Linked DNA regions of Lytechinus pictus. The protein of the gene in region 2 interacts with the protein of the main gene of each other region in a pairwise test. Links are inferred from orthologs where the notes say so. Each region holds a gene or a part of one and is shown on either strand. Other genes may lie near its edges.

Evidence for each region. The genes of interacting proteins can lie anywhere in the genome.
Region 1: the proteins of phosphatidylinositol-3-phosphatase SAC1-B-like (region 2) and vesicle-associated membrane protein-associated protein A-like interact in a two-hybrid assay, tested with the Drosophila melanogaster proteins (2 studies listed by BioGRID). The link is inferred for Lytechinus pictus from reciprocal best matches to the Drosophila melanogaster genes Sac1 and Vap33.

Annotation. Positions count from the first base shown.
Region 1 is NC_087246.1:37,607,339-37,614,555, reverse strand, and holds the start of vesicle-associated membrane protein-associated protein A-like, read left to right. Parts: upstream 1-4,216; 5' UTR 4,217-4,385; coding exon 4,386-4,443; intron 4,444-7,217.
Region 2 is NC_087246.1:55,294,978-55,302,367, forward strand, and holds the start of phosphatidylinositol-3-phosphatase SAC1-B-like, read left to right. Parts: upstream 1-4,370; 5' UTR 4,371-4,561; intron 4,562-7,390. UniProt on the Drosophila melanogaster protein: Phosphoinositide phosphatase which catalyzes the hydrolysis of phosphatidylinositol 3-phosphate (PtdIns(3)P) and phosphatidylinositol 4-phosphate (PtdIns(4)P). Has low activity towards phosphatidylinositol-3,5-bisphosphate (PtdIns(3,5)P2).

The DNA.
Region 1 (7,217 bases), about 18 Mb from region 2:
TAATAGGTATCTGACAAATCAAATTTTACGAGCGCGCAGTGCGAGCAGAAAATGTTAATATTCAGACCATAAAACTTAAATTTTTTTACAGAGCACTTTTTTAAAATCAATTTGTAAATCAAACAAAATAATGAAAGTTCGATTTCCGAGCTGAAATATGTTTAATACATGTATATAGACTTCAAAATTTGATATTTGAAGCTCCATATTGAGCAAGATATGTAAATCACCTAAAAGGCAATGCGAGTGCGAAAATTTTATATAGTGACATGAAAGATCTTTTATTATTATTTTCTTCCCCTCGTTTTATTTCATTCACTCGTCTTCCCCCTTTTATGTTTACCCTTCTTTTTTCTCCTCTCTTTTCCCTTCTCTTTCTTTTTTTTTCTTTCTTTCCTCCTTTTTTCTATTTTTGCTCCGCCAATAGGGGGGGGGGGGCGGGCCCATCGCCCCCCCTGGATCCGCCTATGCATGAGTAGGCTGCACACTCAGACCCTTAACTCGAGTGAAGGATTTGCACAGCAGGCTCGGGTCCCGTCTTACAAAGAGTTGCGATTGATCAAATCACTCTCAAGCAGGGGCCGCGGAAACGGGGGGGGGGGGGCTGGGGGGCTTTAGCCCCCCCCCCAACTTTTTTCAAAAACTGTGTACAAAATCGAAAAAATGACCAAAAGATTTTGATTTTTTGCATGGTCAGCCCCCCCCCCCCACTTTTAGCTCATTCCGCGGCCCCTGTCAAGTATATGGAAATCCTCCAACGTCATAATTTTTTCTTCAGGATTTGCTCAATGTCTTTTGAAAACAAAGAGAAGCATACCGCATTGTCAAGAAAAAACAGTGAATGTATGAATTTACATCATTTCTAGAAAATATTTTGAACAAAACTTGTATTTTAGATGTTGATCGTTGCTGGCTTTCCATAGTTACGATTGATCGGATCAATCGCAAGTCTGTGTAGGACAGCAGACTAGGGTTTAGGTACGGCGCGTACCCGGAAACTGTTCGACCGCAAATTATTGGGTGATGATGACAAAGCTAGGCCGCATCCCCACGAGGCCTCGATCGATCGAGGCCTCGTGGGGATGGTGGAATGGACACACTCCACCTGTTTTATTTTTTATCTTGCTTTTCTCTCATATCATTTCAGATTCTTATGAATTTCAATCTGTATTATATAGAGACAAGTTATATGTTCTTTATAATCACTATAGGCCTACATCATTATTAAATAATGGTCCAGTGGTTAGAGCATTGGAATCATAATCGCAAGGTTGTGAGTTCTAATCCCCACTTTGCCATCGTCTCCACTTTGATAAAAAAGCCCGAGAGTAATATGTGTCGTCTATAAGATCAGCCATTATGACTGATTAACCTTGACGTAAAGTGATTATATACCTACCACCTTGGCGTATATCAGCAAAATGCTGTCCTGCCGAGTTCCTACGGGAGTAAAACAAAAAATAATAATTTCTTCCTCGATGAACGTTGTACACATGTATAAATCTGTGACAATACTTCAGTTATTGTATAATTTGCTTATGAAACTTATACATATTTGATTTGATATACATGTATATATATATATATATTGATATATATATACATATGCCCATAAATATAATTACAATCCGCTTTTATATAACGCTTTACATCGGAACGAAGAGCTTTACATTACCCCTGTCCGTCGCGCATGCCATAGACCTATAACTTTCTCCACTCCCTGTGGAGCATTCTAACAAAAGGTCTTGCTAGGCATACTACATGATATAGGCTTTCGCATCCTATACCGGGTACCCAACACATGCGTATTAAATTATATAGGCCTATTATGTTATTTTCATCAATTTTCCTTCTTTTGGGGGGGACAAAAATAGTGCCCTTTTTAAAAGAGGAATTATGTGCCCTCACATTTTCAACCTGTTTGTTTTTCATTTTTTGCCTTTGTTTAATAAAAGGAATTGAGTGCACACATAATGACCAAAATGATTGATGTTATCCCATTTATTTAAATATTCCAGGTATACTGACCTAATAGAGACATTTTAAAGACTGTGGCATTAAACAGATATGTATCCCACTGATGAAATAACGCTAGCGCGAAGCGCGAGCTGAAAATTTTTGATATTCAGACCTAAACAAGGGGCATCAAAAGCAAAATTTTGTAATCATGATACGTAGGAGCCTACCTATCTCACTAAACAAACAATGCGAACGCGAAGCACGAGCTGAGATTTTTGTATTTATTGACCTCACACAAAAACATTTTTAAGACTATTTTTTAAAGGATTTCATGAAGTTCGTCATCTAATGCGAGCGCCAAGCGCTTGCTGATTTTTTTTAAAAAGAATTACACCTATACACATGAATCACTTTTTCGAGCGCGAAGCGCCAGCCGAAAATTTGAATTTCAGACCAGAATAGGGGCATTCTAAGGCTTTTTTGTAAGAATTCATTAAGACCTTATGTATTTAACTAAGAAAATAATGCGAGCGCGAAGCGCGAGCTGAAATTTTTTATATTCAGACCTAAAAAGGGCACTTTAAAGACTGTTTTTAGGAATTCATGAAGAGCAAATTTATATCACCAATCTACTAATGCGAACGTAAGTACGGACTGGAAATGTTTTATATTCAGACCTTAAAAGGGGCAATCACTTAAAGTAGGCCTACTCGTGAAAAGAAGCATATTTCACTATATAGAATAATAAAAATTCGAAGTGCGAGGAAATGAAATGTGTATATTGACTTGAAAACGGAAAGTTTAGTACCATATAATTCCCTTTAACATGATTTTATTTTTCAATCTCATTAAACAGACAAAGCGAGCACCAGGAGTGATTGACACATAGGGTCTAAGCAAATTCTTTTCATAAAGTAATGAAAAAAAATTAATAAGTAATATAATATATCATAGTAAATATACAATAATTTATTATTTCCACAATAGGTTTCTCTTTCTTTCTCCCTCTTTTTCTCCTTTTCCCTCGTTTTTTTTGTGTGTGTGTGGGGGGGGGGGGCGAGGGCAGCCGATTGGGGGCACGTGCCCCAATCCCCCGTAGTTACGTCACTGCTGAGTGATAGCTCATTGCACTTTGTTTAAGCCCGTCACTCCAATAATATTTAAACGTTTCAAACAACTTTTAAACATCTGTTTTTATCTTTTAAACAATTGTTTAAAAAGCTTAAACAATTACAAAAAAATTAAACAATTTGTTGTTAGAGTGACAGGCTTAAACAATGTGTTATCTTATTACTGTGAAAATAGAAATACACCCATGACCAATGTCCCTTTCCATCTCAAGTAGATATTAAAAAATTGAGACGATAAAATGATTTTGTGTTGATGAGCATGTGGCACTCTATCAAACTACAATGGGATTAAATATGCATTATTCATAACAAAATGAAGATTTTTGCAATATTTTTAAATATTTCAGATATGTTTTAACTATGGGCTACTGTTCTCAATCTTGTAGTTCAGTTAGTTTGGGATCATTGCTACATGAATCAATTAGAATTAAATTAAGTAATCTGCTCCAAACCAAATTCAATTCCAGTGACCCCGTCCCCCCGCTTCCGCCGCCTATGCCTCTTTCTCCAAACGGGGGCTACCCGGCCCCGGGGCTATAGGGGGCTATATAGTATAGGCTTTGATGTACCATGCAGCCACTCTCTACATGTAATGTGTAGAGTAGTGTCCCTTCTTATCTTTTCCACGAGAAAAATGCAAACTTAGGTTTTGCGATTCAGCAAAAATGCCATTTTGCTCAAAGGGATGCCAAAAAGACGACATCCAATTCTGAATACAAGTCAAGTACGAAAAGGGGTGAGGTAACTTTTAACAGGCTAGAGCTCCTGTGAAGATATAGACTTTAATATGCCAGAATAACATTTTCAACAAATATGTCTCCTCAATAATCATTTGCATATCAATAAAAATAAAAGCTGCTTTACTAAAATATGCATTAGATCCATTACATCTACTACATTTTGCATCATATAAGTGCATGCCCCTTCTCATACTTGCTTGCTAGTCTGTAAAGACCAAACACAACCCGTGACTATAGTGCCCACAATGCAATTTACGAATAAAGTAATTGTTCGCTGGTTCCGGGTTGTACTTTGAAAACGTGTACACACGAGTTCGTAAACTCTTGATCGGGTGTGTTATATACGTACGGTACGTATTATGCAGCGCAGCGAAATGTATATCAGTCAATTCTGTGTAGTGTTAGATCTATGGCCGACGTGTACTAACTTTGATCACCGGTGACGGGATAGGCGTTTTATCTTGCGAAGTTCTGCTTGGTCGTAATATTTTTCTTTATCTTCATCACCATAATCTTCTTGCCCTATCGCTCCAACAGTTAGACGAATATCACAGCAATGTCGAAGCCAGATCAACTCCTAACGATCAAACCACCCACGGAACTCCGTTTCCGAGGTAAGAAAATAATACTTTTTTTCATCCCTGTTCATTATCCATCAATCATACCGGTACCGTACTCATAGTCATACATTGGGTGATTTTAAGATTAGGTGATTTCAAGTTCGGTGTCCGATGTTGTTGGTGTTGTCTGTCATGTCTGTTGAGAGCATAAAAAGGCTGCTGAACCGAGCTCCAACACCGAGCTGGGTTCAGAGCACTCACACGTATTGCGAGGTTTTTAACCTCGCACTACCATGACTACGATTACGAACATGACGAACGTGTTTACGCAATGGATTTTAGAGTTGTCGGTTAACATCGCTTCATAACGGGAATAATGTTGTTAGTTAGCCGAAACTCATTCCGCTACTCACCAGGGCTTTTTCTGGTGAAAAACATTCCATTTTCATTTATTTTTACAAACATTTTTCTATATAAAACCACATGAAAAAGAGCAAAATTGCTTACCTCGGCCCGGCCTGAAAAGTTGCTTCGCATGTCTCTTCCACGGAAATAAAAAGAAGGTCGTCGTTGGCGCTAAGTAATAGTACAATTCACAACCTTAATTCAGCTTGTCTGTATTTTTCAAACGAGATTCTTGATTCATTGTATGCGCAATTCCCATGATTGTTTGATAAATCATAAAGACAACAATAAATGCAATAACTTAAAAAACATACTTTTTGTATTAATTTTGCTGACGATAATACATTTTGGAAAACATTCAAAGCGATGACAAATTAAGCAAAAATAGAAAATTCTACGTACCTTGAACTAAGCCTGCAGTGCTACCGTTCATTTGTCAATAAACGTTCCACCAAAGTCTAATTACAGTAAAAAGACTGGACACTTTGCCGACGTCCGACTTCGCGTAACGCTTTGCATCGAGTTACGTGTAAAATAGTTTTTGTGCCTAGTCTTTCCCTTGTAGTGTCTTTGATATGAAGATAAATCAGTCCCAACACCAGCCGGATTTCAAGTACGGTGTTGTAGCTGGTGTTGGTGTTAAGTCACAACACCATACTTGAAATCACCCACTGTAGGTCTATGACTGGACACTGACAATCTGACATTACTATTTTCAACATGTTCTCAAAATGGGAACCAGCGTGTCGTGTAGATATCTCTTCCGGGGGGGGGGGGGGGGGGGGCAGACAAATATATTGCTGTACACATGCATGACCAAAAAACGCATTTAAACTATTAAAGGTTTTTTTTGCAGTTTTGGACTGAATTAAACTGAATTCATTTTAACAACACAGTAGACAGAATAGACAGACTTGGTCCTGATTCAAAGCCACAAATTTTAAACTCAAATGCTAAGGAAACCAAATAGGGGAGAAACTTGTGAGCAAGCATCGACTCTGACCACATCGTCGCCTGAGAAGCATAGTGACGTTAACTCAAAAATTTCGTCCCCAGGTCGATTTTTTGTTTTACATATCATCTTTTAGAGTTTTTCTTACTCTTTCGTTTGGTCTAATCGAGAAATCACGAATTCAAATATTTATCAAGATATCTATCAAAAACATATTGACGTTAACTCTTTTTCGCACAATTCCTGAGAAGCATACTGACGTTAACTCGTATTATGTTTGTGCGCATCATGTCCTGCGCATATTTTACACTACGCGCACTGACGTCACAAACAGTGCTACGCTATGCACACTGACGTCACAATGGATGAACATGCGATTACTAGTAATCAGCTATAGGTATCAGCTGATTTTTCACATGTTTTGCAATCTAACTGCAGATCCGTTCTAGCTAATTAACTGAAAATAATCCACAAAACAATGCTTTTAAATGCAATTTCTGAATACTTTACTCTAATCTTAAGTGCTGTATAGCATGACAAATATGACATCGTATTCGAATAAATGGTGGAGTGGTTTGGAATATTTCCCACATTGATACAAATGCCAAATTCATTTGAATGCGCAGTAATTTTTTTGAGAAGTTTCAACTCGGTAGAAATAAAAGCTCAATAGCAAAATATCAAGCTCATAAACCCATATCAATTTTTGCATAATATATTAAATATTCCGCTGCTGAAGAAAAGTCTGCAAAATTTGGTGTAAATGACATAAATTTCATTCTAATTGTGGAATGCCCTTAATAGTTCCCGCACGCCCCCAATTGAAATGCACACATAGTTACTTACAAAAAACAACAACTATAAATTGGTATATTTTGTCGATTTTTCTATGATCATAATTGATCAGTCAAGAATTACCCAGTAAGAATTTGTGGTAGTTAATGCATACGACAATAATTTGAACAGATTTCAGCCAAGAATATGTCTAGATCTACGTTAGGATCTAGGTTGGTCTAACTTATAGTCTATATTCATTCTAAAGTCAAAGAGACGATATAATAAAGTTATATAGTATGTCTAGTCAATTAGATCATTGTTTAAATATTGAATTCATTGCCAAATACAGTTAGGCCTAAATTTCAAGGCCCAACTTAGGCTACTAATAAGCTCTCTGCACCCAACCTGTCTGGTGAGTTCATGTAACAGCCAACACACAATACAAATAAAAAAGATCTTTCAATTATCACTTTTATATAAAAAAAAAGTACTCAGTTCCATTCATTTATGCTTTGTTTTCATAATAAACATGGGGATCTTTTTTAAGTAAAAGTCCAAGTTATCTGTGGAAAGAAAATTTTATTAGAGTACTATAGCCCCAGGTTTTCACTCCTGACCTTGACTTGTAAGGCAACATTCACAAGAATAAATCATGATCATATACATAAACTTGATATTAAAACAACAACAAATG
Region 2 (7,390 bases):
ACGAATAGGTGTTTTTTTTTATTTTTTTTTAAATAAGATGACATAGGGAGACAGTGAGTATTTGAAGATAGTGAATATTCATAAACAATGTAATTTGTAATACAATCACTTTAGTTTTACTTTATTAGTCTTTTTTTCAATAGTCTAATAAAGTCCCATCCGAATCCCTTAAACTCTATGTTGGTATCATCCATTGTAAGCACTTTGAAAGAGTACGATTCTGGAACAATCTTTGATATCGATAACGATCAATTCATTTTTACGTTGTATTTTTTGTTAAAGGCAATTTTTAGTTTCATCCCTGGGCGATGGGATCTGAAACTTTACTACCAAATAGTATTTAATTGTGTTTTAATATTGAAATCAAAGTCTTTAGGCATATTTCATGAAATTAGTCATATTATGCAGATTATTTGCAGATAGTGAATTGATGACATGCTCACAATGTTTCCGACGTCTTTGTTAAAAAAAAATAATTATTTATCATAACTGCTTGCATGAGCATTATTCTTTCAGATCGGAGATAAGAATGTTACTTATATAAGCATTATAGACCTATCTGGCTGTGAACCATGATTATCTATGAAGAAACAAAGAAGTTTTTTCTTTTTCTTATGTAATCCCCCCCCCCCTCTCCCTACTTTTCTTTCTTTCTTTTTATCTCTCTCCCCCTCTATCTCAGTATGTCTCTCCATCCCTCAATCTTTCTCTTTCTCTCTTGTCTTTCTCTTTCTCTGAACTCTCAACACATCATGGCGTCGCATCACCTGTTGCCACTCCGCTTCCTGCTGTTGCCATTGCCATGGTAACGATGACTTGCTCCATTCCTCGTTTCCAAGCCCTTGTATGTCGCAGTTTAAAAAAAAAGGAGCAGATCTATCGCTTCGTTCTAACCAAAAGCGACAGAAAATACCGGCCTGTTTTGAGATGATCGCTCAATGACCCACGAATACAATAGCCGCACCCCGTCCATTGTGTTCTTCCCGATAAAACCGGGTATTTAAAAATGTCTCCTCCACACCTGACTAGCCACCGATCAAAGAAATGAGCAGCGCTGTCTTTCAAAGATGCTGAAGGGATGTACAATAGTATTCTCCTCGGATATAGAGACGAGGAGGAGGGGTGGTGGAAAGGGCTAGTTATCTTCGGGGGCTATTATAATGGAGAAGTTAATTAAAGAACGCTGGTGTGTATAGAGCATGAGTTCTCTTAACACACAGCTGAAGACGACAGACTTTGATGTGCGTTGTGGTTGAAGACATGACATGAGAAAAGACATTAAATCAGCAAGATTAATGGAAGGGTTATCTAAACTTCTATGCCAATGACAAAACTATCCACCACCAGCATTAGAATCAGTTTCAGTAATAATCAAAATTGGACAAAACACCGTGATTATCATAGATGATGAGTCCGGTAGACAAATATCAGGAGCTGAGAAATTATAGTCTGTATCCCACTCCTGACACCAAAAATGTAGTCAACGATCAAGTTTAATTCAGCTGAAGAAATTACTGTGTGGTTTTCATTGCCTTCAGTTATTTTTAAAGGAATGTGAAAGGGACATGCCTATAATGCCATAATACCGGAAACACGTTGATATTGATCTAAAGGGGTCCGTGCACGTTCAGTATAACCAACAAAAATGAACAAAAAAAATCATGAAATTAATATAAATAAAGAAAAGTTGCTTAAATCATGGGGGGGGGGGGGGGTAAACATGAAAAGCAAACGAGGGGGAAAAAACTATAAGACCTAGTGGCAGATCCAGGAATCCGAAATACCCGTGTCCCATCCCTGTGGGGAAGTGTGCATATTTGAAAAACGACTCCGAAAATGAGCATAAAAATGGAGCCCTTTCTTTGGTTTTTAAAGGAGTATGACGGGAGTGAAACACACGCATGTATATATTTTATTTAGCTTGCCCAAAAAAGAAAATTATATACGGGAACATGCTCCTTATAAAGTTGATAACTTTCCCACGGTTATTTTTTTTTTTTTTGGGGGGGGGGCTTGTCGCAGAATTAAAAAAAAGACGGTTCCACGTATACCATTGATCAGTCCATCATCTGTCGCTGATGAGACCAGCATAATTATAACATAGCTCAAAACCTACGCATGAGTGCCCACACATTATTTTTTTAATATGTGACAAGCTACCCCAAAACCAACAAAAGGTCGCCAGAGAAGGTTCTCTGTATTAGCCAGAATAGTAATTTGGTCTTTATAAAAACAAAAATTGAAAGAAAAAAACACAGCTTATCTCAAAGAGTAATTCTTCTTCTGTATAATGCCAAAATGTCAAGTTGTATAGAGTTGAATATAAAACAAGGTACAAGAGTTTCTGTGGCACAAGTTTTTTGGGGAATGCTTGGAAATTTCACTCAGATTGCAGTGGGCCCTGAACTTCTAAGTTATTTTTGAAGCTCTCGCCTTGTTTCTTCTCCATACGATCAAGTATAATAGTGTGGGTTGTTGTTGACCAATTTTGACAAGTTAGTTATAAAGCTTATTGCTTATTTTCATCTCATAAAAAATAAAAACTAATTTTGGGCGACTTTGGTTTAATAAACACGATAAATACATTTCAATTTTTCTTCGTTATAAAACAATTTGGTTTGATTTTGTTGTCTATAAACATGTGGAATTGCGTTTTGTAACCCATATGACGTAATATGATATTTTATCAATATTTTCCTTATGTCATATCAATAAAATAAAAACAATTACAAAAGTAAATAAACGGTGTGTGATGTTCTTTCAATAATAATTGATGCATATCTGACCGTGTTGTCTTCTTTAATGTAACTGCTTTGAGAAAATAAGGTAAACTTGAAAATGGTATATCTACAGCCGCTTTTTAAGAAATTTTAGTCAACTTGTTGTGTTCAAGGTGGTGGTTGACTTGAACTTCAGCATAATATGACAACGATATGATTTGTTTTATAATTTCCTAGGTTCACTGTTTTATATAACATTCTATTTCAAAATTCATAATGCCCCTTGTACATCCATTTGTATTTACCGAATGACACTTAGAGGGTGCATACTTTTCTGTATCTTCTCCTCCCGCGGATTTTATATAATTTACAGCTTTTCCCGGTTTTCATAAATAAATAAATCGCACAATTCACTTGTCATTCTCACTCTGATTCCATTTTAAAAAATGAAGGAAAAAATGAAATGAAATTTTTCTTTATATAACTTTTTAAAAATCGCTGAAAGTATATACATTTGGAGGTTTTTCATAAAAAAAAATTTAGATGAATTTTTTAAATTATTAAATAAAATAAATCATCATTTTGGTACCGAGAAATTCAGTGACAAGCAACAACAAAAAGTTCACTATAAAATGAAGGTAATTTGGGGTTGCTAGGTCCTTTACTTTTTTTTTTACCTGGCAGCCCCAGCCCCCCCCCCCCCCCCTTCCGTTGGTCCGCCACTGGGAATCGTCGAACCGCATTTCAGGACAGGGACTCACTCGACCGTAAACTGCTATTGTTGTATTTTGGTATTTATATGTTTCACTATAGGTAATTAACAACAAAATATATTTAAAATTCGATACCATTATTAATCATAACGTCTCATCCTAGATCTATTTTAGCTCAATACTGCTGATTCTCCATAAAACAATATTGTCTACGCGATCAAATTCACATTTTCTCTTCATTTTGAATCAAGAAAATAAAGAAAGGATTTGATAATTTTGGCGGGATGTTGCAATCCATGATCCCCATCGATCGAAATTAACATTCTCATGCGGCAGTCACATAATCAAGACTAATACCAAACCAACCGATACCCGTACATTGAATAACGTAATAGGCTCGTAGCTCTGATCGTTCTGGAGTCGGTTTCGTTGTTGTGACTGTGCGGGATTATCTTCGAGATGACCTCAAACAGGCTAAAACAAAAGGTGAGAGAGTTTAGAAACCATCGGAGAGGGCATCGAGTAAACGACCAGATAATTGGTAGATGGGTCTGTTAGGATGCGATAGCAATCACCTCTCCTCCACATGTTATAACCCAAAACAAAGGAAGTTGAGAAAGAGGAGGATCACCGAGGTAAAAGAGCAACCGGAAGTCACGCACCTACCTCTATTGTTTATGGATATCACAAACTTCCTGCATCATTTCTATGCATCACAGAATGATTGTACGTACGAGTTCAGAATGCGAGATTTTATAGAAGGAAATTAATCTCTCCTGTATTGACTCAATATCATTCAAAGAGAGTTCTTCCATGGATCCTACTAGAAGTTCCATGCTGTACTATTCTGACCCCCCCCCCCCTTATGGCCATGCATGATGTAACACATTACGACATACTGTAACAAGTAAAGTCATCATTACAACAAACGTTTTCTGCATAAGATCGCATACATCCCATGGGATGTGTTAAAAAATTGTCTCTCTGAAATTTTGTCAAGACCAAGTCTGGGGATCGGGCTTTCCAGAAAGCTGCACCATAGCAGCACAGTGGAATTCTCTCCCGCCAATTTTACGAAATATTACCCAACTTGAGCAAAAAACCCACCTCCTTCGCTTCAGAGATAAAGTAAGTTATATGTTCAAAGTATGTTTGATATTCTTTGATGTTTATAATTACTGGCGGTTCCAGGAAGGGGGGCACAGCCGGCCCATGCCCCCCCCCCTTGAGAGACACAATTTAAAATTTGTAATGTAAAAATGCCGTTAAAACAGAAGTGTGGCCCCCTTTTGAAAGCGAAGACCTTTTTTTTTTGCTTGTCAATTTTTTCGTGGACGAAATCCCCTTATTTTTTTAGTTAAAACCCCCCTTTTAGGGGGGGGGGCTTGTCAAAATTTTCCTCCCTTTTCGAAAACTCCTGGATCCGATTGTTATATTCAGCTTTTCCTGAGAGACCCTTAGGTGCTATACGCGTCCATCCCAGAAGAACTGTTATTATCATAAGATGTGGAATTATTTTTGAGAAAAAAAAATCCTAAACGTGAAAACTTGTAAACGTTTGCCATAATTTCCATTGTAGAATAAAAGGTTTAATCATTCAATTTCTTGCAGTTAAATCGGTACAATCGATCGGTATGTATATAGCTGTAACCAAAGCTACGCCTACGACCGTTTACCAGTTTGATTATACCCCTGAGAATGAGCATGTTTTATAATAATCTCAACTATTTTACGATATTTGGATACTATACATTTTTTATTGGTCGATGAAACTATTAAACGACGTGAAATGTTTAGCTCTTACATCTCTTCCCTATGATAACATCCGTTGTATTGACCTCATCATGTTTTGTCATCTCCGTTTCTATACCACGTTCTTTATCCACTTTTACGTAAATATGCACGGTACTTATGCATGATCATTGCTCGAATTATGATGAACATTTTTTAACAACATGTAAACAGGCATGTAAACTCCCTCAGAAATAATATGTCCATTTATACAGCGCAGTTACTATGTGCATATACTCAACTGCGCTTTGATACATGGTATCATACCCCGGCTGTAGCTGAGCCGCCATATTAATAAAGCATTCAATGAAAAATCTTACCGGATACTCATTCACCTCACCTGGGTCGAGTGCAGCACAATGTGGATAAAGTTCTTGACAAAGGAAATTACGCCATGGCTGGTATTCGAACCCACGACCCTCTGTTTCGAAGTCCGGAGACTAATCCACTGCATGGGCCTAAATGCTCCACAATATAAATACACAATATTGATCATGCCTCAGAGGTATAGTGGCGCTACAAGGGGGCAAAGTAATTAATAAAACACTCATGTCTACTAATTATTCTGAGGAAAGGATTGACTGCCCTCGATCTTTCAAATAAAAAAAAAATCTGTGAAGTGGGGGGGGGGGGGGGTGAGAAAACATGGAAACGTGTGTCTTGGTCATTATTTTGAGAAAACAAATCAAACTTACATACAACTCCCGTGGCATGCTTACAGAATGATGAAAAATGAATTGTTTTAATCATAACTTGGACAAAAACTTAATTTTATTTTTGTTATCCTCCATGGGAAGTTTTTTTTTTTTTTTTTTCGTAGTGAAAATTCTGCAAATTATCAATGGCAAAGAAAACCAAAATACGGTACCACAAGAATAGCTTCAATATTTCTATTTATTCGACCTTATCCACCCTTGGCCTATTAAATCCTTATGTGGGCTAAAAATGGCTGGCCGAAATGGATCGTAATGCTCTAATAATCAACTGTTATAGACCGGTCTGGGACGGCCTCGTGTTGTTAATTAATACAATAATGGTGATGACCGTCTCCAAAATCATCATCACCACCACCACCACCACCACCTCCACCACCTCCACCACCTCCACCACCACCACCACCACCATCATCATCATCATCACCATAAAAATCATAATTGTATTACTACGATGGCAATTATACAGTAATGTTTGTCCTTGCACGCGGTCATTGAATTGAATTGTTTTTCATAATTGCTTGGCGGATGCAAATAACAAGACCGGTGGATTTTTAACCGAGTGGTTTGGGATCTCAAAAAGGAGGAAGGTTTTTTGATAGAGCTGAGAAGATACTGGTCCTTGAAAATGTGTCCTCCCTACACCACACCGTTATTAATATATTTGCCTACTTTTAGCCTATCACGGACGAGTCCCTGTGCAGAGCGAAGAGAGAGGGCGCCTGTATAGTATTTCATATACAGGGACACTAATTTCATTACGACCGTATCATCACGATTGCTGGACCTACACCCCGTTTTATTTATTTATTTTTTTAATTTTTACAATTTTGATCTGCTAAGTTTCGAACTTTATTTTACATCCGAATCAATAATTTCCCCCATTTATTTTGAATCATTTTTAATCGCTGGTACCACAATCTTTAGTTTGCAATTTACTTCTAACTCGGAACACACTACGGAACAAGTTCCGGGAACAAGTTCCGGGAACAAGTTCAATCACAGTTTCCTCTTCGCTTTTAATTCGCTTTTATGAATGAAATAAAATAGAGAAAACTCCGAATGAAAAAGAAAAACAAAGTTTCTTATGCTTATTGTTAAAATTCATATTCTGTATAGCTATTTTCCTAATACAATAGGCCTACTTTTCTACATTACATTTTTGGAAAACTTTCATTTATCTGAGCATGCAGACGATAACAATAATCTGCATTAATTTTATTGTTTCAGGCTGGAAAATTCCCAAATCTGCTGCCGAATCGTATGTATTTATAAAGTTTACAAACTGCATGTCTTATTAACTTTATTTTGTGGGACTTCTCCTTCATCATGTGTGTTAAAAACATATGAGTGGCCGTTTCAAGAAAATCAACATTTTGACGTACGTAGGCCTATACCAATTATAATTGTAATACAGTGACAGATACCAAGTGGAAGTTGAACTATGTAGGTC